Linked DNA regions of Elephas maximus indicus. The protein of the gene in region 1 purifies or fractionates together with the protein of each later gene. This does not show direct contact. Links are inferred from orthologs where the notes say so. Each region holds a gene or a part of one and is shown on either strand. Other genes may lie near its edges.

Evidence for each region. The genes of interacting proteins can lie anywhere in the genome.
Region 2: the proteins of POLR2F (region 1) and POLR3C purify together in Homo sapiens (affinity purification with mass spectrometry; 3 studies listed by BioGRID and IntAct, with this or other methods). This does not show direct contact. The link is inferred for Elephas maximus indicus from reciprocal best matches to the Homo sapiens genes POLR2F and POLR3C.
Region 3: the proteins of POLR2F (region 1) and POLR1E purify together in Homo sapiens (affinity purification with mass spectrometry; 4 studies listed by BioGRID and IntAct, with this or other methods). This does not show direct contact. The link is inferred for Elephas maximus indicus from reciprocal best matches to the Homo sapiens genes POLR2F and POLR1E.

The regions. Positions count from the first base shown.
Region 1 is NC_064822.1:181,847,477-181,854,847, reverse strand, and holds the start of POLR2F (DNA-directed RNA polymerases I, II, and III subunit RPABC2), read right to left. Parts: upstream 3,006-7,371; 5' UTR 2,889-3,005; coding exon 2,869-2,888; intron 1-2,868. Other genes in the region: C4H22orf23 (UPF0193 protein EVG1), read left to right, coding at 3,548-3,650, 4,760-4,822. UniProt on the Homo sapiens protein: DNA-dependent RNA polymerase catalyzes the transcription of DNA into RNA using the four ribonucleoside triphosphates as substrates.
Region 2 is NC_064821.1:157,754,247-157,761,741, forward strand, and holds the start of POLR3C (DNA-directed RNA polymerase III subunit RPC3), read right to left. Parts: upstream 3,006-7,495; 5' UTR 2,916-3,005; intron 1,639-2,915; exon of another isoform or gene 1,554-1,638; intron 1,463-1,553; 5' UTR 1,442-1,462; coding exon 1,295-1,441; intron 790-1,294; coding exon 534-789; intron 424-533; coding exon 238-423; intron 1-237. Other genes in the region: E3 ubiquitin-protein ligase RNF115, read left to right, coding at 3,435-3,524. UniProt on the Homo sapiens protein: DNA-dependent RNA polymerase catalyzes the transcription of DNA into RNA using the four ribonucleoside triphosphates as substrates.
Region 3 is NC_064827.1:46,344,210-46,351,296, reverse strand, and holds the start of POLR1E (DNA-directed RNA polymerase I subunit RPA49), read right to left. Parts: upstream 3,006-7,087; 5' UTR 2,924-3,005; coding exon 2,848-2,923; intron 2,318-2,847; coding exon 2,214-2,317; intron 972-2,213; coding exon 895-971; intron 1-894. UniProt on the Homo sapiens protein: Component of RNA polymerase I (Pol I), a DNA-dependent RNA polymerase which synthesizes ribosomal RNA precursors using the four ribonucleoside triphosphates as substrates.

The DNA of each region.
Region 1 (7,371 bases):
GACCTACACGGTGGCTGCAACAATGGGCTCAAACACAGCAACGAATGTGAGGATGGCACAGGACCAGGGAGTGTTTTGTTCTGTTGTACACAGGGTCGCTGATTTGGAACCAACTCAATGGCACCTAACAACAACCTCTTCCTCCAAGCACTCATGTTTGGAAAGCTCTAACACTCAGTCACTGGCTGTATCCTCTCCTGACACCTACCCTCCTGGTGATCTCACCTATTTCTTAGCTTTGAATCATATATATTTGCTGACAACTCCCATATTTTTCTCTTCAGAATCCTCTTCTCTACCCCACACATTCAATCCATGATAAAATCCTCTTGGCTCTACCTTCAAAATACATCCAGAATCCAACCACTTCTCACCACCTCTACTATCACCCCAGTTCAAGCTACTACCTTTTCTCACCTAGATTACTGCAATAACTTCCCAACTAAACTCCCTGCTTCTATCTTTGACTCCCTACAGTCTATTACCAACACAGTAGCCAGAGTGATCCTTATGAAACCTAAAATCCTATCACTTCTCTGGTCACAACTTTTTGATGGCTCCCCATTTCAATCAGAGTTAAAGCCAAGTCCTAACAGTGGTCCACAAGCTTATATAATTTGGCCTCCTATCACTTCCCTGACCTCATCCTCTACCACCCTCCCCTTGCAGGAGCCACACTGTTGGCCTCCTGACTGTTCTGCACACACTCCAGGCATACTCCTACCTTAGAGCCTTTGCTCTAGCTGTCCCATCTGCCCAGTGGCTAACACCTTCACCTCCTTCAACTCTTTGTTCAAATGACATCATCTCCACAAAGCCTTCTCTCTAGTAACTTTCCTATTTAAAACTGAAACCTACAGTCCTGCCCCCAGCTCTCTATTTTTACCATACTACTTTCCACCTCCTAACACACATTTACTTACTTAGCCTGTTACCACCGTGCTTCGCCCACCCCTTCCCCAATTCATTCCAAGCTTCTGGAATAGAGCCTGACACATAAATATTTGTTTAATAAATAACCCAATTCAGTCAAATTCAATATGACATGGATAAAACAGACTTCGTGACCTCAGTCTCTCACATCTGCCCTCTTCACCACTATTCTTGATCTTGGGATCATCCTACCACACCCAAAGAAGATAATAACAATCCGCTCTTTCTTCCAGGTTCTCTATCATGGCTGGAAGAACCACCCCAGTTCCTCAAGCTAGAAAATGCTCAACCTCCATCTCTCCTTTGCACCCACATCCTATCACCAAGTCCTGTCAACTCCATCTCCTAAAATCTCTCTGCACCCTCCTCCCTATTCCATGGTCATAATCTAAATTCAGGTCTCCATCCTTTCCCAGTTTATAATTTTGCAACAACTTCCTAACTGGTCTTTCTTTTCCAATCCGACTCTCCAAATCCACTCATCACAATGTATGCAAAGTATCTCTTCTAAAAAGAAAACCTAACTGTGTCGCCCCACTGCTTAAAACAACTCAATGTCCCCTTCACCTCAAGGATCAAGAATAAAGTCTTTAAAAAGGCACAACCGCCCTCAATCATCTGGTCTTTATTGTCTCTCAGCTGCCCCTTCCTGACATGTTTTGCTTTCAGAACACAAGCTGGTTTCCCAAATTCCCCCCACATCACACCTTGTCATGTCTCTGTTCTTTAGGATACATTGTTTTCTCTACTTGCAAGGCTCTCTGCCTTGTCCACCAGGCCAATTCTTAGTCACATTTCATAGCCCTTCACCACCTCTGTGAGGTCTCACCAGCCTCGCCCCTCCGGATTATTCCCTGCTACATACTTCTACTGCTACCCCATATTATCTCTTCATGGGCCAGTTTCATCTCCTAGAAAGTAGTCGCCTGCAGACAGGGACTGTGCCTAATTCACCTCATATTCCCAGTACAAGGCACAGAGCCCAACTCAGTGGCAGTCTGTTGAAAGACACCTTATTCACTGAATAAGGTCCCCCAAGCCTGGGCCTTTCTGTGTCTACCCTCCGGCCTGGTCTGTGCTCCTGGTTTTCGGCCCTTCCCTTCTGCAGCTCTGCCAATCCCTCAGTATCCCCTGTCCCCTCAGACACTGTCCCTAGACCCTAGCTCCTCAGTCTCTTCCAACTCAAGCCCCCAGTATCCCTGTCCCCTCAAACACTGTCCCTAGCCCCCAGGACCCCAATATCCCCATCCCCTCGGACACTGCCCCTAGCCCCCAGGGCCCCAGTATCCCCGTCCCCTCGGACACTGCCCCTAGCCCCCAGGGACCCAGTATCCCCGTCCCCTTGGACACTGCCCCTAGTCCCCAGGGCCCCAGTATCCCCGTCCCCTCGGACACTGCCCCTAACCCCCAGTATCCCCGTCCCCTCGGACACTGCCCCTAGCCCCCAGGACCCCAGTATCCCCGTTCCCTCGGACACTGCCCCTAGCCCCCAGGGACCCAGTATCCCCGTCCCCTCGGACACTGCCCCTAGCCCCCAGGGTCCCAGTATCCCCATCCCCTCGGACATTGCCCCTAGTCCCCAGGGACCCAGTATCCCCGTCCCCTTGGACACTGCCCCTAGTCCCCAGGGCCCCAGTATCCCCGTCCCCTCGGACACTGCCCCTAGTCCCCAGGCCCCCAGTATCCCCGTCCCCTCGGACACTGCCCCTAGCCCCCAGGGCCCCAGTATCCCTATCCCCTCGGACACTGCCCCTAGTCCTCAGGCCCCCAGTATCCCCGTCCCTTCAGACACTGCCCCTAGTCCCCAGGCCCCCAGTATCCCCGTCCCCTCGGACACTGCCCCTAGCCCCCAGACTTCTCAGTCTCTTCCGACCCATGCCTTCGCTTCCGTCCCTCCCTAGGTTCCCGCAAAGGCCACTCCGCTCCTGCACTCACTTGTCCTCGTTGTCTGACATAACGTCACCGCTGCACAGACCCCGCTCTGCACTCCACGGCCGCACAAGAACACACAAGCAGCGCGCCTCGGCCTCGCGCGGCCACCCGTACCCTGCGCCTGCGCCGTGACCCAGAGGCAATCACTTCCGGGAGGCTGGCCAGTGAGTCAATGCTCATGCGCCGAATGGCTTACGCACGTTACCATGGTAGCCAGAGCCGCTAGGTGCCGGCTCCAGTCGCAGAGATCGCAAAATATTTCTGGGGGGCTTCTGCGTCGGGTGCTCCTGCAGAGTCGTGGTGTCCGTCTCCGGGAGCTTACCCGCCGCTCTCCGCAGGGAGGGGGCACCCAGACACGTCTTCCTTTAGGGTGAGATTTCAACTGGCACATCACCCCATGGGTACTGCCGTGACCACGGCGATTTTAACGCTCCCTTTCTCCCGAGGGGACTTCCCTGCCACAGGCGCTGGGTCCCAATGAGGACTCTGTGTGTGTGTGTGTGTCAGGGTCGGGATCGGGCACTGTCGCGATATTTACTAGAGTCATCACGATTCTCCTGCCACCCAGATCCTCCACCTACTCTCCCAGACTTTGGGTGGGGTTGGGGGCAAGGAAACAGAGACTGGGACTAGGAGACAGGGGATGTGTTTCATTGTGTCTTTCCCTACTCAGGGCCCTCCCATGACTTCCCAGGAGAGGCTGGGGGCAGTAACCAAAAGAACGGGGTTCTGGCGCTGCCCCCAGCCAGCCGCTTACACCCCGGGGACCTGCGAACTGCTCAGAGGTCAGTGTTTGAAGGACACGAAGAGACAAGTGGTGGTAACTGTTAACCTCTGTAACTCAGTTCTCCCCTACATGACCTGTGGCTTAGTAATGGCGATTTTCATTTTACAGATGGGAAGTCTGCCCTACAGCTAGCCGGTAGCCAAAAGTCAAAGAGCTAAGAATTTTTGAGTAGGTAACTCCTGTGCATTCTTCAGATCACACTTGCAACTTCCTCAGGGAACCCCCCCCCCAATACCACCACAACAGAAGCACCTGTTACTGCCCTCACATCATCAAATACCTTTGTCTTCATTGTGCATAGCCCAACCTGTTGTCAGATATCTAGCTGTATCCGTTAGATTAATGTTCATCTCTCTCTAGATCATTACCTCCATCAGGGCAGGGATCGTGCCTGTTTCGGCTCACTGTTGGAGCTCCAGCTCCTGGCTTAATGAATACTTGCTCGTACATTCACTCAACAATTTTTTAAAGAGACCAAAATGTCGGCAGTTCGAATCCACCAGCCACTCCTTGGAAACCCTGTGGGGCAGTTCTGTTCTGTCCTATGGGGTCGCTGTGAGTCGAAATTGACTTGACGGCAATGGGTTTGGTACTGCGTGCTGTAGAAGTCCCTGAGTCGCACAAATAGTGAAGCACTTGATTACTAACCAAAAGGTAGGCAGTTCAAACCCACTCAGAGGTATCTCAGAAGAAAGGCCTGGCGATCTGCTTCCAAAAGCTGACAGATTAGAAAACCCTCTGGAGCATAGTTCTCCTCTGCAGCTCATGAGTCAGAACAAACTTGATGGCAGCTGGGTTGTTTTTGGTTTATATGTGCTTTAGACACTGTTTTAGGCGCTGGGAATATGGCAGTTAACAAAATGGGGGAAAAACAACAAAAATTCTTGTCCTAATGTAGCTAATCTAGCAAGAGGGTAACAACAAATCAATAAGTTAAGTATCTGGAGCTTAAATGGTGACAAGCGCCACCGAAAAGATGAAACAGGGAAGGGAGAGCAGAGTGTTCAGGTGCAGAATGGAGGAGGTACAAATTTTAATTTAAATAAGGTGGGGTGAAGGCATCTGCCTGCAGCCCAGTAGGCCTCATAGAGATGCTTTATCTTGCAGTGATGATGAAGGAATCCAAACTAACCAGCTTCCAACAGCGCCACATCATGGACACCATGAAAAGTAAGAGGTGGTCAGCAGAGACCTCCTGGGCAGAGGGGTTTGGGGCCACATTTTATATGCTCTTCTATATTAAGGGTTGTCGTTGTTAGGTGCCGTCAAGTTGGTTTTGACTGATAGCAATCATGTGTACAACAGAACAAGACACTGTCTAGTCCTGTGCCGTCCTCATGATCGTTGCTATGCTTGGGTCCATTGTTGCAGCCACTGTGTCAGTCCATCTCATTGAGGGTCTTCCTCTTTTTCACTGACCTTCTACTTTACCAAGAATGATGCCCTTCTCCAGGGACTGATCCCTCCTGATAACATGGCCAAAGTATGTAGGAGTGAGGGACCTCATTTAAAAAGACAAAGACTATGTAAATATAAATATATATTAACATGGTATCTCTGATCCTTGCTTCTGTGGAACTGACCTTGTGGGGCCTTGGTCTTTTCCCTGGACATGGATGCTGGCAAAATGACAAATCTCCTGCAAGTCTGGCTCTAGCCGAGCTTCCCAAGGGGTCAGAACCCAATGGAGACTTTCTGACCAGCCAAATAGTCTCAGCACCAACCAAACCCAAACCAGTTGCTGTCAAGTTGATTTTCACTTACTTCGTGCTGTTAGGTGCTGTCGAGTCAGCTCCGACTCACAGCAACCCTACATACAACAGAATGAAACACTGCCCGGTCTTGTGCCATCCTCACAATCGTTGCTATGTTTGAGCCTATTGTTGCAGCCACTGTGTCAATCCATCTTGTTGAGGGTCTTCCTCTTTTTCACTGACCCTCTACTTGACCAGGGTCTGGTCCCTCCTGATAACACACCCAAAGTACATGAGATGAAGTCTCACCATCCTTGCTTCTAAGGAGCACTCTGGCTGTACTTCTTCCAAGACAGATTTGTTCGTTCTTCTGGCAGTTCATGGTGTATTCAATATTCTTTGCCAACACCGTAATTCGAAGGCATTGACTTCTCTTCAGTCATCTTTAGTCATAGTGACCTTATAAAGCAGAATAGAACTACCCCATAGGGTTTCCTCTTTCTTCCTCGGAGTGGCTGGTGGGTTTGAACTACTGACCTTTCAGCCAGCAGAGAGTGCTAAACTAGGCTTAATTATGCTACTAGGGTGCCTCAGTCTCAACACAGGCATATCTGTAATCTGTCCCACCCTGTCACACACATACCATGTGAACTCTCCAAAGGACAGGACCAAGATGATTGGCTGATTCCCACTTAGGAAGAATACACCAAGCCTTCCCACAGCTCACCCCTCAACACAGAAAGCCCAAGCTTACTGGGTGTAACTTAGATCTGCTGGAAGCTATTGCCTTCTCTAAGGAAGGCATGTGCCTACTGGGAGGACACCTGATCAACCACAGAAGTGTAGGGAGGGAGAGTCAGAGAGGCAAATACTGGCAGCGTCTGCCTTGCACTGGCTATGGGAGGGAGGCTCCATCAGGCCAGTTCGGGGGTCAGATCTGCTTCTTCACCATGGACGAGGACATCTCGGGCCACCAGGGCCTGGTACCATCACTTATTTGAACCACATAATTCAGTAATCTACTAATAATGTGGTGTCAACTCTAGCATGACAAAGGAGCCCTGCTGGTGCAGTGGTTAAAGCGATTGACTGCTAACCAAAAGGTTGGTGGTTTGAAACCACCAGCAGCTCCGTGGGAGAAAGACATGGCAGTCTGCTTCCATAGAGATTTACAGCCTTGAAAATCCTCTGAAGTCGCTGTGAGTCAGAATCGACTTCATGGCAGTGTGCGGGTAGCATGACTACAGAGAGAGTGTGCTAGAAATTCCACTAAAAGTAAGTACTAAGGACTGGGTCTGCCCTGTTCACCACGGTAGCCTCAACACCTAAAACAGGTGCTCCGTATTTACTGCATTGGTGGTTAGCCCCACACCCAAGTACCTGGTTTGCCTGGTTTTATTCTCCTTAAAAAGTTTTCCTTTCCCCTCAGCCCTCTGTTTTTTATCGGAATAAAATATACACAACATAAAATTTGTCAAGAGTACCCAGGCCATGGTATTTTCAGTCGCAACATATGCATGCCAAAGCTGGACAATGAATAAGGAAGACCAAAGAAGAATTGACGCCTTTGAATTGTGGTGTTGGCAAACAATATTGGATATACCATGGACTGCAAAAAGAGCAAACAAACCTGTCTTGGAAGAAGTACAACCAGAATGCTCCTTAGAAGCAGGGTTGGCGAGACTGCATCTTACATACTTTGGACATGTTGCCAGGAGGGATCAGTCCCTGGAAAAGGACATCATGCTTGGTAGAATAGAGGGTCAGAGGAAAAGAAGAAGACCCTCAATGAGATGGATTGACACAGTGGCTGCTCAGTGGGCTCAAGCATAACAGTAGTTGTGAGGATGGCACAGGACCGGGCAGTGTTTCATTCTGTGGTATGCAGGGTTGCTATGAGTCAGAACTGACTGGAAGGCACCTAACAACAACAGTTCAGTGGCATTAATCACACTCATGGTGTTGTGCTATCATAACCAGTTTGTTTCCAAAACGTTCTCATCACCCTAAACAGGAACTCTGTAA
Region 2 (7,495 bases), on another chromosome or scaffold:
CTTCACAGTATTTATCACAGTTTGTTATTCTATATTTACGTGATTATTTGATTAATGCACATCTCCTATACTAAAGTCCCGTAACAGCAGGGGTCACGCTGGTTTTTTCATTATTATATACCACAACTTCTGCACATACCAATCACTTGATGAATACTCGATTCATGCATTCATTTAAAAATGACGAAGAGTCCACAGTTAGGACAAATCACAATTTGAAAAGTCAAAATTCCTTACCTATCAAGCTCAGTTTAGGAACTAGGTACATGTCCTTTTCATTAATGACAAGAGTGGGAGCAGGTGGCGGTGGCCCAGGGTCTGAATTCTCAGTGGCAGGTACCAAGGGACAGCGCTGCACAAAGTGTGTGTCTGCCAGTCGCACAAAAGTGTTTGATACCTCAGCATAATCCATGGTCTTGCCATCTGTACAACAGGAGCAAAGGGGCAGATTAGACGGTCTAAGATAGCTAAGGGTCTGCTCCTGCAGCCCCATAATCTAAGCTTTGGCTAGCAGCTGTGGATACAGTACTGACCCTCCATTGTCTCTGTGAGCCGGTCTGCCACTTTCTTCACGACAGCTGACATTGTCATTTTGCCATTCAACAGCAGCTCCTCAACAATTAGCTCTCCAGTGTCACTGTACAGCGTTTTGGAAGTATAGATGTACCGGGGATACCTCAGCATTCGTAATACCCGGCTGCACTGGGCTTCATACTCCACCACACCACGTTTGTGTACTTGGTATGTCACCAGGTTATGTTGGATAAGGACACAAAGGGCTTTTTTAACCTAGGTAGAACCCAAAGAAAGAGAGACCTGAAGACATAGCTCAATATTGCTGGCAATTTTTGTCCAACGGTTTTCTAAGCACCAGGAGATAGCTGGAGAGGAATCTCTGTGCTGCTTCTCTCTCCCCTGGAGTAGTTAATAAGAACCACATGTCAATGGAAGAAATCTGGACAATTCCTTCCTGATGCTTCTATTCCCTCTGATTCTTTCAAAGTACAATTTGCTCTCTCTCTCTCATTCCTTAAAGGTAGTACTGAGATTAATAGAATCATAGTAAACAAATGAGGCATGGAATGGGAAGAGGAATGACTTGCCTAAGAAGCCACAATGAACTAGGAACATTTTGAAAAGCAGGACCTTGGGGCTTAAGTCCCATTCTCTTTCCCCCAAACAACATGGTTCTGATTCTAGGGCAGGTTTCCTCCCTTTTCCATTTTCTTGGGTGGGCAGTAACAATATTTAAAGGTAGGTGACAGAAGTGTACATTAATGCTATTTAAACATACCTGATCCAGTGATGTTCCTGTGTCATGGGCAATTACTCTTAGTGGTTGGCTACCAGTTCTGATTAGGTGGACTCCAATTTTTTCTACGATCTCTCCAAAATGCTCTTGCAGCAACAAAGAACACAGCTTAATTTCTGCTTGGGTCATTGTACTTGAGGGGCTTCAGAGCTAGGAAAAAAAGTATATGATGGGAAATTTTGCTTTTATGTTGCGTGTAGAGCGTGTTTACTGTAGACTTGCTGAGTATAAATTCACGTACTCTTTCTGGAGGGTGATGTAGCAATATATTTCAAAAGTCTTAAAATCTTGCACACTTTTGGCCCAGCAATTTCATTGTGAGTACTCTGTCCCCAGGAAATAATAAAAACACGTCACTGTAGTTCTCGTTAAAATACTAGAAACAATCTAGTATCCTAGCAATAAGGACTCAGTTCAATAAATTATGGTATCTCCATACGATAGAATACTATACCCACATTTAAAACGACATATAGTATGTATGTGTTAACAAAAAAGTTGTTCATAATGTATTAAGTGAAAAAAGCAAGTTACAAAGCAAAACGTGGAGTAAAATTGAATTATTGTAAAAACAAACAAAAAACACGTATGCATAGAAAACAAGGCTAGAATGTGTACAGCATCAAATTTATCTTTATGAGATTATGTACGATGAAAAATTTTTTTTTAAGTTTGGCTGTAGATGGTTTTGTGATCTGTCACAGACCTTAGATTCTATTGCTTGGAAGAAGTGAGTGTTCACAGCCCACTAGGAGTGACCAGGCAGTGTCAGTCCCAGTTGGTTAAGGAAAATGAAATTAGGAGGTAGAGCTTCTTAACAGGACAGGGTCCTTCAAACAGGAGATGAAGTATGCTGTTTACAGGGCAGTATTTAATTATGAAATTTCTACTCCTTGACAAAATAGACACAAACCAAAATGGACATAGCTAATTATACGATTAAACCACTTGCACTGGAGTCATTCTGGCTCATGGCAACCCCACGTGTGTTAGGGTAGAACCGCGCTCCGTAGGGTTTTCAACGGCTGATTTTTCGAAGTGGATCACCAGGCCTTTCTAAGGAAATGCCTCTGGGTGGATTCGAATCTTCAACCTTAATGCTTAACTGTTTGCAAAACCCAGGTACTCTTTTTAGGGTTACTTCCTTATGATCACAAACCCAACCAAAACCCACTGCCGTCGGGTCGATTCCGACTCATAGCGACCCTATAAGACAGAGTAGAACCGCCCCATAGAGTTTCCAAGGAGTGCCTGGCGGATTCGAACTGCCGACCTTTTGGTTAGCAGCCGTACCACTTAACCACTACGCCACCAGAGTTTCCTTTTGATCACAAGCTGCTACGAAATACTGGTTGATTCGTGTAGTCCTCCCAACCCCTCAGAATCCAAGTGTTTGTCTCCCAGCCTCAGCGTCGCCAGAGACCTATTTCACCCATCCACATGTCTTTGGAAAAGCATCCCCAGGCCCTTAGCCATCCTCGAAGAGGATTCCTAAGGAGCTTGGCTCCAGCATCTCCACTCCCTTCACGCAGGTTCGCGTTCCGAACTTGGTCTCTTGATCCAGAGCCAAGGCCGCTTCGTTCATACGGCATTTCCCACTAACCTCAGGGTCAATGCAATCCGGGGGCTCCAAACCTAACACCTCGAGTTCATCCCAACGACTTCGCGCGGCTCCCACTAGCCTCCCGGGCAGAGGGAGAGCCCACAGCCCTTTCTCGCAAGAAGACCAACACCCCGGAGAACCAGGAAGCGGTAAAATTGGGGGCCGCTCTACCCCAGAGTTTCAGTGGTTTCCGAGACGCTCTTTCTTTCTTCTCGCTGGAAGGTTGGAGGACCGACGAGGGGCTGTTTGAGGACCCGGCGGGGCGGGCCGCGGCTGGGGGACTCTCTTGCGCCTTTTTGGTGCTGGGGGCGGGCCGCGGGGTCGCGGGCCGCGCCGGCGCCGTCTGGCTGAGCCCAGCGGACTCACGTGACCGACGCGGACTCGGGAGCCGCGGGTCGCACAGAGGAGGCAGCGGTGGCAGCGGCAGCGGCAGCGGAGGCGGCGGCCGTAGCTGGCTAGCAGCGGCCTGGCGAGGGACCGGCCGGCTGCCGTGTCCGCCAGCCGCGGCGGAGGAGGAAAATGGCGGAGGCCTCGGCGGCCGGGACTGCTGTAGCCGCGCACCGGTTTTTCTGCCACTTTTGCAAGGGCGAGGTTAGCCCGAAACTACCGGTAAGAACGCGGTGTCCTCTGCGCTCGGGCACCTGCATGGATTCCTCCTCCCGATAGCCCGGAAACAGGTCTTAAGCTTCCTGCACTGCCCTGATTCCGCTGACTCGGTCCCCGAATACCTGCTGCCCACCGTCTCCGGTCGTTTGTCCCAAGCCCCGGGCGCCGCGGCCCGTATTTTTCTCCTCGGATGCTCCATTTGCCCCTTATTCCATTTCCTGTCTTTACCTGACCCCCTCCTCTTTTTGTCTTCCTTAGCAGCTTCTCCTCTGACAACTCTTCTCCCAATTTTCTTGCACTCTTCATCTTGTCTCCTTCCCACGATGACCTCTCTTCCTCCCCCACCCCATTCTCCTTTGCGCTTTTGCTTCTCACCTTCCCCTATTTCCTTCTCCACTTTTCAGCAGCTCCCTCCTCCCCCTTGTCCCTTCTCCTCCTCGGTGAAGTTGAATAGCGGATTGCTGATGATTGTCACTATTCGGTTGTCTCTAAGGAAGGAAGGAAGAAAGCACGGAAAGGGAGTATTGGAAAGTAAACATAGGGAGAAGAGGGCGATTTTGCTATTCAGTGGTTTCCAGGGTTTTTGCGAAAGTGAAAACAGCAGTGAACTAATGACTTGCAGACTTCCTGAGCTCCCTATCACTTTGGAAGAGAATGGCTTAAGGAAGGAGGCGGAACATATTGTTTCAACTTGGTTTATTTTAGTTGTGATGTTGCCAGTGTCACCTTCCTCACCCACTTCCCTTACTTAAAAAGAAAAAAGATTTAGGACAAAATGTTGGGGACTGCATCCTCTGATACAAAATTGGTTTCACCAGTTTCTGCCAGACTGTTAGCCTCCTAGAGAGGTAGTTCACTGGTTTTGAGGAAAACGCTTTTGCGGCATGCTAATCAGCTCCAGCACCCCAAACCTGAAGCTGTTTTGGGTTGGGTATAGCTGCTGGGGGGAGACCCACCAGGGCGAATGTTAGTTCTACACTTGACCAGCTGTTTTTAGAATTACTTATGGTTGTTCCTTTCCTTAAAAGTCTTTAGGTTTAGTGTTAAGACAGGGTAGCTACGCAAGATAACCTGTGTATTATCTCAGATGCAATCTATGAGAAAGCCTACTGAAGTGTGTCTGCGCGTCTTCTTCTTTCATAGAAACACAAATGGAGTCCAGTGAATAAGCGCCTAAAGGATATTTCTTGCCTTTTCATCTGAAAGTTGTGCTTTTTAAGGCTTTTCCAGCGTTTTTCTTTTCTATCTGCCTACCCCCAATTTCATAGTCATAATTTCATCTAAATGCTACTTAGGTTTGGTTTCTGATTTGGCTGTATGTGTGTGTGTGTGTTTGCTATATTTTAGTGCTGGCAAGAGCAGGTGCCTTGTTTTTTCCCAGCAGACATCAAGAGTTCCCAGAACTCTCACTGAGGGGGTCTGAATGCAGCTAGTAGTGAATAGTGACATGTTGTTGAATGTGATGCCTTATTGAACACTGCAGTCTGAAGCTCTTCTGATCTTTGAGACACTGCTGGTCCTTGCTTTTAAGAATGAGAAAACTTAGTCCAAACCTCCACAATTTAGTATATCTTTTCGTCTTACCACCTGAAGTCCTCACTTCAAAATGCCCTCGGAAAAGTATAACTTGAAAGGCTTTTTAGGTGTTTTTCTAAGCCTTAGAAGCCTGAAGGAGAATTTTTGATATTTCCAAAGTCTGGTTTATTATCTGTCTTGCCCTATTTATAAATTGAAGCCTGACATGGTTAAATATAACTGAATACTTTTTATGTGCATAGAAGGCTCTACTGGATGTTTTGGAGGTGATATGGAAGACTATATGGTCCCTGCCCTTAAAGACCTCCCAATCTTGTTGAGAAGACAAGACAAACATGAGAAAAATAATGTGAGGTGAATGACAATGGATAGTTTGTGAGAGAGCAGGGTGTGGGACAAAGAACTAAGTTTGACCTTTTGTATCTGGTTCTGAAAATAGCCTGAGCAGTTAAGGTGCTCTTTGCCTTTCTAAAATAGCCAGGCAAGTAGGGGCTGTACAGGCCCCATATCTAGCAAACCAAACTGACTTCAAGAAGGGAGGGGGAAGTGATGCAGTCATGCGTATTCGTTGAGGTCCCAATGACTAAGGTACTCTGGGCCTTGAAATCCCTTTTCGGGGGGCTTCCAGGATCAGTCGGAACATCCACGCAGGGGAGAGGGTGAGTGAGGTTTGTGCCTGGGGACAGTGGATCTTGTCTGATGTGTCTCTTTGCTTGTATCCTTTCTGGTTATAATAAATGGGTAGCTGTAAGTATAGGTAATGTTGTCATTGTTGTTAGGAGCTGTCCAGTAGATTCCAAGTCATAGTGTCCCCATGTGCTATAGAGCAAAACACTGCCAAGTCCTGTGCCATCCTCACAATTGTTGCTCTTGGAGCCCGTTGCTGTAGCCACTGAGTCAATCCGTCTTTTAGAGGGTCTTTCTCTTTTTCACTGACCCTCTTCTTTACCAAGCATGATGTCCTTCTCCAGGGACTGATCCCTCCTGATAACATGTCCAGAGTACCTGAGACAGGTCTTGCCATCCTTGCTTCTGAGGAGTATTCTGGCTGTATTTCTTCCAAGACAGATTTATTTGTTCTTCTGGCAATCCATGGTATATTCAATACTCTTTATGAACACCATAAGTATAGGTAATAAAATAGTCTCTGCAAATTTTGTGGGTTCGAACTGCTGACTTTTGCTAGCAGCTGAACGCTTTAACCACTGGACCACCAGGGCTGCTCGCTATGCATTAGGCATGCGGTGTTTGCTGAACTGGATGAATGTCATGAGAAACCTGGGTGTCTCTCTGAGGATAGCCAGATGCTGCTTATCTTATCATGAATAAAATATTTCTTTGTTATGACTGAATTTGCATCTCAAGAGGGTACTGACTTTTTGTGTGTTAGTTGGATGACAAGGTCACCCATGGCTTTAGGCCTCTCAGAACAACAACTGAAACTAAACCCACAGCCTTCAGGTCGATTTCAACTTACAGTGACCCTATAGGACAGAGTAAAACTGCCCAATCAGGTTTCCAAGGAAGCAAACTGCCACATCGTTTTCCCGTGGTTCGTAGCCGAGCGCTTTAACCACTGCACCACCAGGGCTCCTTTTCTCAGAACACCAGAGGCTGGGTATTTACATTAACTTTCAATGAACTACTGCTAGGAAGTTTTCTTCACCCAATCAGTGAGAAGGACTGCTTCACAGCTGTTTTATCTTTTACTGTTTATCCACCAACAGAGCCATGTTCAGTGGGGCTAGGTTGAAAGGTTTTCCACTATTCCCTTATTTTCTCTTCCCAATCTTTGGATACAGCACTTCTTGATATATTTGGAAGTGTGTGCAGACAGTAGCAGTAGCAGTAGCTTACCCAAGGTTCAACTCAGAAACTAAGTTTTAGTTTATTGTTTTTCTTGTCAGTTCTGCTACTCTGAAAGATTCATGGACCCAGCTAACTTTAGTGTCTGTGTTAAGAGAAATAGTTTTGGCTATAACTTTTGAGAGCTTGGAGCATGCGTAATGCTGTGTAGGTTAAACTACATGTAGGTTGAGTTTATTTGATTTGATGAAATAATATTCCTTACTGCTAATCCTAAGGAGCCCTGGTGGTGCAGTGGTTAAGTGCTCAACTGCGAACCTAAAGGTTAGCGGTTCAAACCCACCAGCTGCTCCTCGGGTGGAAGATTCCCTCCCCCTCAGAAAAACAAACCTATTGCCATCGAGTGGATTCCCACTCCTAGCGACCCTACAGGACAGAGTAGAATTGCCCCATAGGGTTTCCAAGGAGCACCTGGTGGATTCGATCTGCCGACCTTTCGGTTAGACCCTGTAGCTCTTAACCACTACACCACCAGGATTTCTTCCGTAAAGATTACAGCCTTGGAAACCCTATGGGGCAGTTCTACTCTCTCCAGTAGGGTCACTGTGAGTCAGAATTGGGTTATGGGTATT
Region 3 (7,087 bases), on another chromosome or scaffold:
TTTACGGAGGCACATATGAGTAAAACCATACTGATTATGGGGAGAAGACCACTCTGAATTAGAGAATCTTTGTGAGGGGATGCAGCGTGTTAATACTTTTAAGCATATGTGCATTAATCTGACTTGTATCAGGATGTGGTCTAGTGGGAGTTCAGACAGGGCCTTGTTTGTGGTTCACTGTAAGGAAACCCTGGAGGCGTAGTGGTTAAGAACTATAGATGCTAACCAAAAGGCTGGCAGTTGAAATCCAATAGGCGCTCCTTGGAAACTCTATGGGGCAGTCCTACTGTTCTATAGGGTCGCTATGAATAGGAATCGACTCGACGGCAACAGGTTTTTTTATGGGTTGGGTAGCATCACAGGGACCCCATCTGCATTATGCCAGCCCCTGAGAATTGTAGCCTGTTTCAGCTGGACAATCTTCACTGTACAGAGAGGGAGGACAAGGGTCAGTGAAAGGCAGAGTTCTCCAGTGTCGCTCAGTCAACTACCACGGAGCTAGATGGAAACCCTGGGCCCCTCCTTCCCAGCCCAGAGCCTTCAACACTACTAAATCCTTTTCTTGTAGTTAGTTCCAAGGCAAACTTCAGGCAAGGTCTGGTCTACTAATCACACATTCCAAATTTGTAGAGACAGCTGTCAATTGGAATAAGACAGATATAAAGAATATTACAAATTAACACGGTTTAAGAATTTTTAACAAATAGAAGTCATCTCTCTTTTTCAGGAATATTAACAGGCTGGTATGAGGATCCCTGGGTCCAGGAACACAGGGACTTGTTAACCTCCCTACGTTCTCCCACTGCCCCTATGATAAAGACTGATAACAAAAATGCCAGTGGCACCACCTCTACCCTCCCCATTACCTTTAATGCTGCCCGTCCCCATCACTACCTGCACAAAGTGTTGCATTTGAGGGCTCCGGTCCCAAAATTGTTCCCCACATAGGAAAGTCTGTCTGTTTCAGCTGCCTAAAATATAGAAGGGAAAAAAGCTCCACTTAATGTCAAAAGGTACTAAGTATCTTGTCTCCTTTTTATACATTTGCAAAAGCTTTAGAATGCAGAACCACAGTGGATTAGAACTAGAGAGCCACTGGGAGGTGGTACAGCCCCACTATCTCTAAGTGAATCTGGGGTACCCCTGGGGAAAGGGCAAGAGGACTTTTGAAAGGTAAGCCCCAGAAGGTGCTGAGTTCTAACCATATTAAAGGTTCCTGGCCGAGGTGCACCACAGGACTTGGGGGAAAGGCCCTGGGCTCCCAACACATATACATAGGCATGCAACAAGGTGATTCTGCAGGCAACCTCCTTGGCCTGGAATCCAAATTCTCTTTTATCCTTTTTGTTCACTTCTACCATGACTACTCTTTACGTACTCTTAGGACCACGGAAATGGTTAATTCACACCCCAATCACAGTCAAGCACTAGTTCTTGCTATCCTCTTCACCTGGAATATCAAATCTCACCTGACAGTCTCTCCTACCCCCATCCTTCAGGGCTCAGCTCCAGTGAACCCTCTTCCAAAAAGGCATTCTGGCAAGCAGAGAGTTCTCCCCTTTCTGAGCTCACTCTGCCCTGTACTCTCTCCCTTAGGCCTTGAGCTTTGTCTACTTGTATGAGTGTCCCTCACATCCAATTCTCACCTCTCCCTCCAGAGCAGAGGCTCTCAACCCAGGACAATTTTGTCCCCCACCCCAGTGGGACATTTGGCAATGTTTGACATTTTTGATTGTCACAACTGGGGGTTGGGGGCGGGGAAGAGTATTACTGGCATCTAGTGGGTAGAGACCAGGAATGCTGCTAAATATCCTGTGATGCACAGGACAGCTGCCCACAACAAAGGATTATCTGGCCCCAAATGTCAATAGTGCTGCAGTTGAGAAACCCTGTTCTAGAGTATGAGCTCCCTCAGAGCGGCACCAGGTCTAGTTTGGCTTTACCCCCAACAGGTTACAGCACAGGGCCACGGCAGGTGCTCAGTAAATGCTTGTTGAATTAACAAATGAATTAACCGTCATCACTTCTCCAAAAGTTCCAAACCTGGATGGCCAAGCCTGCCCCACACCAGCTGTGGGGCGGGGGGAGGAATAGTTCTTTAAAGGCCCATTTGCTGCCCCCCTTTTTTCCTCCCTCACTCCCTTCACAGCCACCCACACCCAAGGGACCTCCTGAGGTCTGCAGAGTGGAGGTAATTGGCAACCATGACTTACTAAGATTCGCTGACTCCTCTTCCTGGGGTTTGTGGAGTCTTTATTCTTGTACAAGGTAAAGTGCATGTTGCCTGGATTCTGCAGCTTTCCATTGGAGAACTGGACTGTAAGGTTGCAGCCAAGAGCAGAATGAGAAGGGGACCCACAGTGTATGTGAAGAGGAAACGGGGAGTCACTGGAAGTGATTCGAAGAATGGAGATGGGGAAGGAAGTCCTGACCCAGTTGAGAAGGGATGAACAGGTGAGAGGAGCCCCCGGGAGAGCCTGTGACAGGAGGGAATGACTGGGAGGATAGAGGTTACAGAGGAGGTCTGGTCCAGTTCTAGAAAAACAAAGGGGCTCTCTACCCAGAGGAGAGAGGGAAATGGGGCAGATAGGAGAGATGGTGGATGAGGGGACTAAAGGGTCCTGGGCACGGCCCTGGGGAGGGTGTGGCAGGGATGTCCCCATCCAGCTGGGAGTGGTGACAGGGTGGCAGGATGACGTTGAAGCCCTGAATGAGCCCCAATGAGTAGAGACTAGAGGGATACTGGCCCAGGTGGGAGGGGGGCCAGGCGGGGCGCGGGAGACTGGAGAGGTACCAAGAGACGGAAGTGGGATAAAGGGAACTCCGCTCCAGCTCCGCAGTCTTTACCGAGTACAGCTCTCTGGCTACCGTCGGGCTCCCCACAGTACAGCCACCTCGCACTCGGCAACACCTCCGCCGCCATCTCGCCCCTCTAGCGGCCACAACTCGAAGCTGAACTAGCCTGGACTACCGGGTGCATTAGGTCACACGTGGTATCCCGCCTAGTGCGCCGAACCGGAAGGGCGTGGCCTCGTGAGGCACCGCCCCGCGCGCTCGGAGACGCGTGTTTCCGCCCCCTCCTGACATCGCCCTCCCCCCTGCACGCTCCTCCCCGGAGCGTGTCGGCGCGCTGCCCCGGCCACTCAGCGCAGCAGCTCGGCGTGCTGCCCCGGCCACTCAGCGCAGCAGCTCGGCGCTGACAGGTGTGGTCTCCGGCACACCGTACCCCTGCACTATACTGGTTTTGTGGGACTAGGGCTGAGGGCGCCCAAACGTCTGCAGCTTCAGTCTGTGCTTCGTGTTTGGTTTCCAGCTGCTCAGCATGGTCTGGATAAAGTATGATCTATTTCTTCTACATTGACAAATATATCTTCCTGAGACCTGAAAAACTAGGTTCAAACTTAGGATTCTCCTACTGGACCTCCTCCAGCTACAACTAAATGTGGCAGCTGGCGGAGAGCTACCCACTCTCTAAGAGTTGCCATCTACACATGTGGGCTCCCAGTCCTTTAGTCCAAGCTGCGTCCACAACCCCGCCAGCACCTCCCCCATGAGCTAGGAGAGCATACACTAGGATCAGGGGGAAATGCGAACAGGCTCAGAGCTTTTGGGCAGGGAATTCTTGGTTGTGTCCTAAGAGGGGAGGTGGACCTGATGGGCATGTCCCCTTGGCCCTGAGGATTCCACCCCGCTCCCCGAGGGAAGTTACCAGAGCAGGGCCTCTAAAGCATGGACCCAGGCCAGGGGTTCCTCTTGCCAGTCAAAAGACGGTACTGTTGAAGGGCAAGAACTCGGATTGGCTCTTCTCGGTTCTCCAAAGCGCCTTCTTTCAAGACTATGTTCAGGTTTCAGCCTTAAGAAGCCGTCCCTAGCACCCCTGTCACCCCCTACACAGACACCCAATCTCCTCCAAAAAAAACCTAGCACTTCAGCTTCCCTTTACCTGAGCAGTTGCCACATTTTTATAATGACCCAATCGCAAATTTACAGAAATATTGCGAGCAAGTATGAGTAATTTTTTTTTTTTGCCCTGATCATTTTAGAGTAAGCTGCCAACCTGAATTCCATTGCCTCTGAAGACTGTATAGTATTTCCTACTGACAAACACATTCCCTAAATACAATGCAGTCATCAAAACCAGACAATTAACATGGATGCATTACTTCCATGTAATCCTCACACTCCATGTAAATTAACCATTGGTCGCACTAACTTTGTTCGTAGGGAAAGGATCCTGTCCACAATCACGTGGTGCATTTAGTTGTTATAGCTCTTTAGTCTCTTATAATCTGAAACAGTTGCTCAGTCTTTCTTTGACTTTCATAACTTTGACCATTTTAATGATCACAGGCCAGTGATTTGTAAAACTTCCCTCTGGGTTTCTAAATGATCTAATGTTTCCAAATGATTAGTTTCAGATTATACATCTTTGGCAGAACTATTTGTGTTCTTCTTGTATTCTATCAGGTGGCACATAATTTCGATTTACTCCATTACTAGTGATACTAACTTTGATCACTTGATTAAGGTAGTGTCAACCAGACATCTCCACCACGAAGTTATTCTTTGTCCCTTTGTAGTTAGTATTTTGTGGAAGGTACTTAGAGACTGACTATGCAAGTGTCTCATTCATCACATTTTCAGTTTATTAATTTATGTCAGTTTGGACTTGTTGGTTCCTATCTTATTCAGTAGATTAAAATCTGCTGTTATCATTATTTGTTTCTGTGTTGAAATGTTTCCAGATCGTGCCATTGGAAATCCCTTCGAGTTGCCTGCTGTGTCCTTTTGACATGCCCCATCAGTTTTAGAGCATATCCCTACCTCCTGGCACAACAAAGTATCCCAGTTCATCTTGTACTTTCCCTGCCCCAACCCTGCAATCAGCTATTTCTCTAAGAAATTTTTGCCGTAAGAAATTTCTCTAAGACATTTTTGCTGAGAAATAGAATTTAGAAACAAAGATCTGTGTGTTAGATATATTTTGCTTTTGGCATGCCACTGCTCCCAGGCCCTCTTGGTTGGCCAAATTAGGAAATACATGTATTAATGCTTACAACTGTATTTATTTCTAGATCTGTATATATATACTGAAAATCATGAGTTCACACTGACCTCTGATTCTAATCCAACACCACAAGGGTTCATTCTAGTTTTCTTTCGTCTCATATTTGTAACTCCCTTGGCATAGTGGTTAAGAGCTACAGCTGCTAACCAAAAGGTCAGCCATTCAAATTCACCAGGTGCTCCTTGGAAACTCTATGGGCAGTTCTACTCTGTCCTATAGGTTCACTATGAGTCGCAATCGACCTGACGGCAATGGTTTTTTGTTTTTGTTTTTTTCTCTCACGCTGAGAAACCTGGTTCCAGTTAGCCTTAATACATTCACTTATTTGATCAATCCTCTGTAAGTAATCATCTCCTGCCACCACCATGACCACCACCACCACCTGACATGGATGCCCTTCTTACTTCATTCAGGCTCTAACACCCTGTACTGGGCCATTACCAACGCCATTCCACCACCTGCATGAATCCCCTCTTCACTTTGCTCAGACTCTGATAACCCCAGCCAAGCTGCACCCCTGCCCAGTGCCACAGATTGAATTGTGTCCCCCAAAAATGTGCGTCAACTTGGCTAGGCCATGATTTCCAGTATTGTGAGGTTGTCCTTTGTTTTGTGATCTGATATAATTAACCTATGTGTTGATAATCCTAACCTCTATGATAATGAGGCAGGATTAAAAGCAGTTATGTTAATTAGGCAGGATACAATCTACAGGATTAGTTTGTATCTTGAGTCAATCTCTTATGAGATACAAAAGAGAGAAATGAGCAAGAAACCACCAAGAAAGAAGAGCCTGGAGTGGAGTACATCCTTCGGACCTGGGGTCCCTGTGCTGAGAAGGTACTAGACTCACGGGAAGATTGATGACAAGGACCTTCACCCAGAGCCAACAGAGAGAGAAAGCCTTCCCTTGGAGCTGGCACCCTGAATTCAGACTTCTAGCCTCCTAAACTATGAGAGAATAGATTTCTGTTTGTTAAAGCCATCCACTTGTCGTATTTCTTTCATAGTAACACTAGATAACTGAGACACCTAGCTGGGCTCAGACACTCTTTACCTGGCCACCCTTCCACATGGATGCCTTTTCACACTCCTTAGGCTCCAGCACCCCTGTTCTAGACCACTGCAGGCTCTCCTTCTGCTCTGAGTGGAAATCTACCTTTGCTTGACTCCTCTTGATGGCTTTTAGATTTATTGGGGGGGGGGGGGGCGCAGTGAGGGAAGAAGAGGAAAAAATAAGCTTAGTTCTAATTATTTGCCTGTTTCCCACCTGATTGTTCCCTCGCTAAATTTATTTGGGGTTAACAATAAATACTAAAACAATAAAAATAATTTGGGGGTTAAGCAATAAAAAGATTTATGCCTGTTTGTTCGCTGCTGTAGCTGCAGCTCCTGGACCAGTGCCTGGCACAGAGTAGACCCTCAGTTAATGTTGAATGTGTGACAGAAAGGAAAGGGTCTTAATCGTGATTAATCCTGAGAGCCTCACACAAGGACCGGAACTCAAAGATGTTGGTTGAAATGAATTGGCAGAGGGTTTGCAGATAGCAGATTCTCTGTAAGTGTTGATGGGTTGAATGACCACATGAACAGTTAAATCATAGTTATGGGATGACAAAGAGGCGGGAGTGGCTACACAAAGTCAAATGTCATTCTTGAGAGAAGTGCCCTGGCCTCTCCTTATATAGGGTCGCGGTCTATGGCCTTGCTACTCAAAGTGTGGCTCATAGACCAGCAGCATTTGCATCACCTGGAAGCTTGTTAGAAACGCAGAATTAATCTGCACTTTAACAAGATTGCACAGGTGACTCCTGTGCATTTAGGGTTTGGGAACCACTGTTGTACAATATGGAGCCCTGGTGGTGGCAGTGCTTAAGAGCTTGGCTGCTAAGCAAAAGGTCAGCAGTTTGAATCCACCTGCCGCTCCTTAGAGACCCTGTGGGGCAGTTCTACTCTGTTCTATAGGGTCGCTATTAGTGAGAATCAACTGTATGGCAATGGGTTTGGTTGTACCATGTT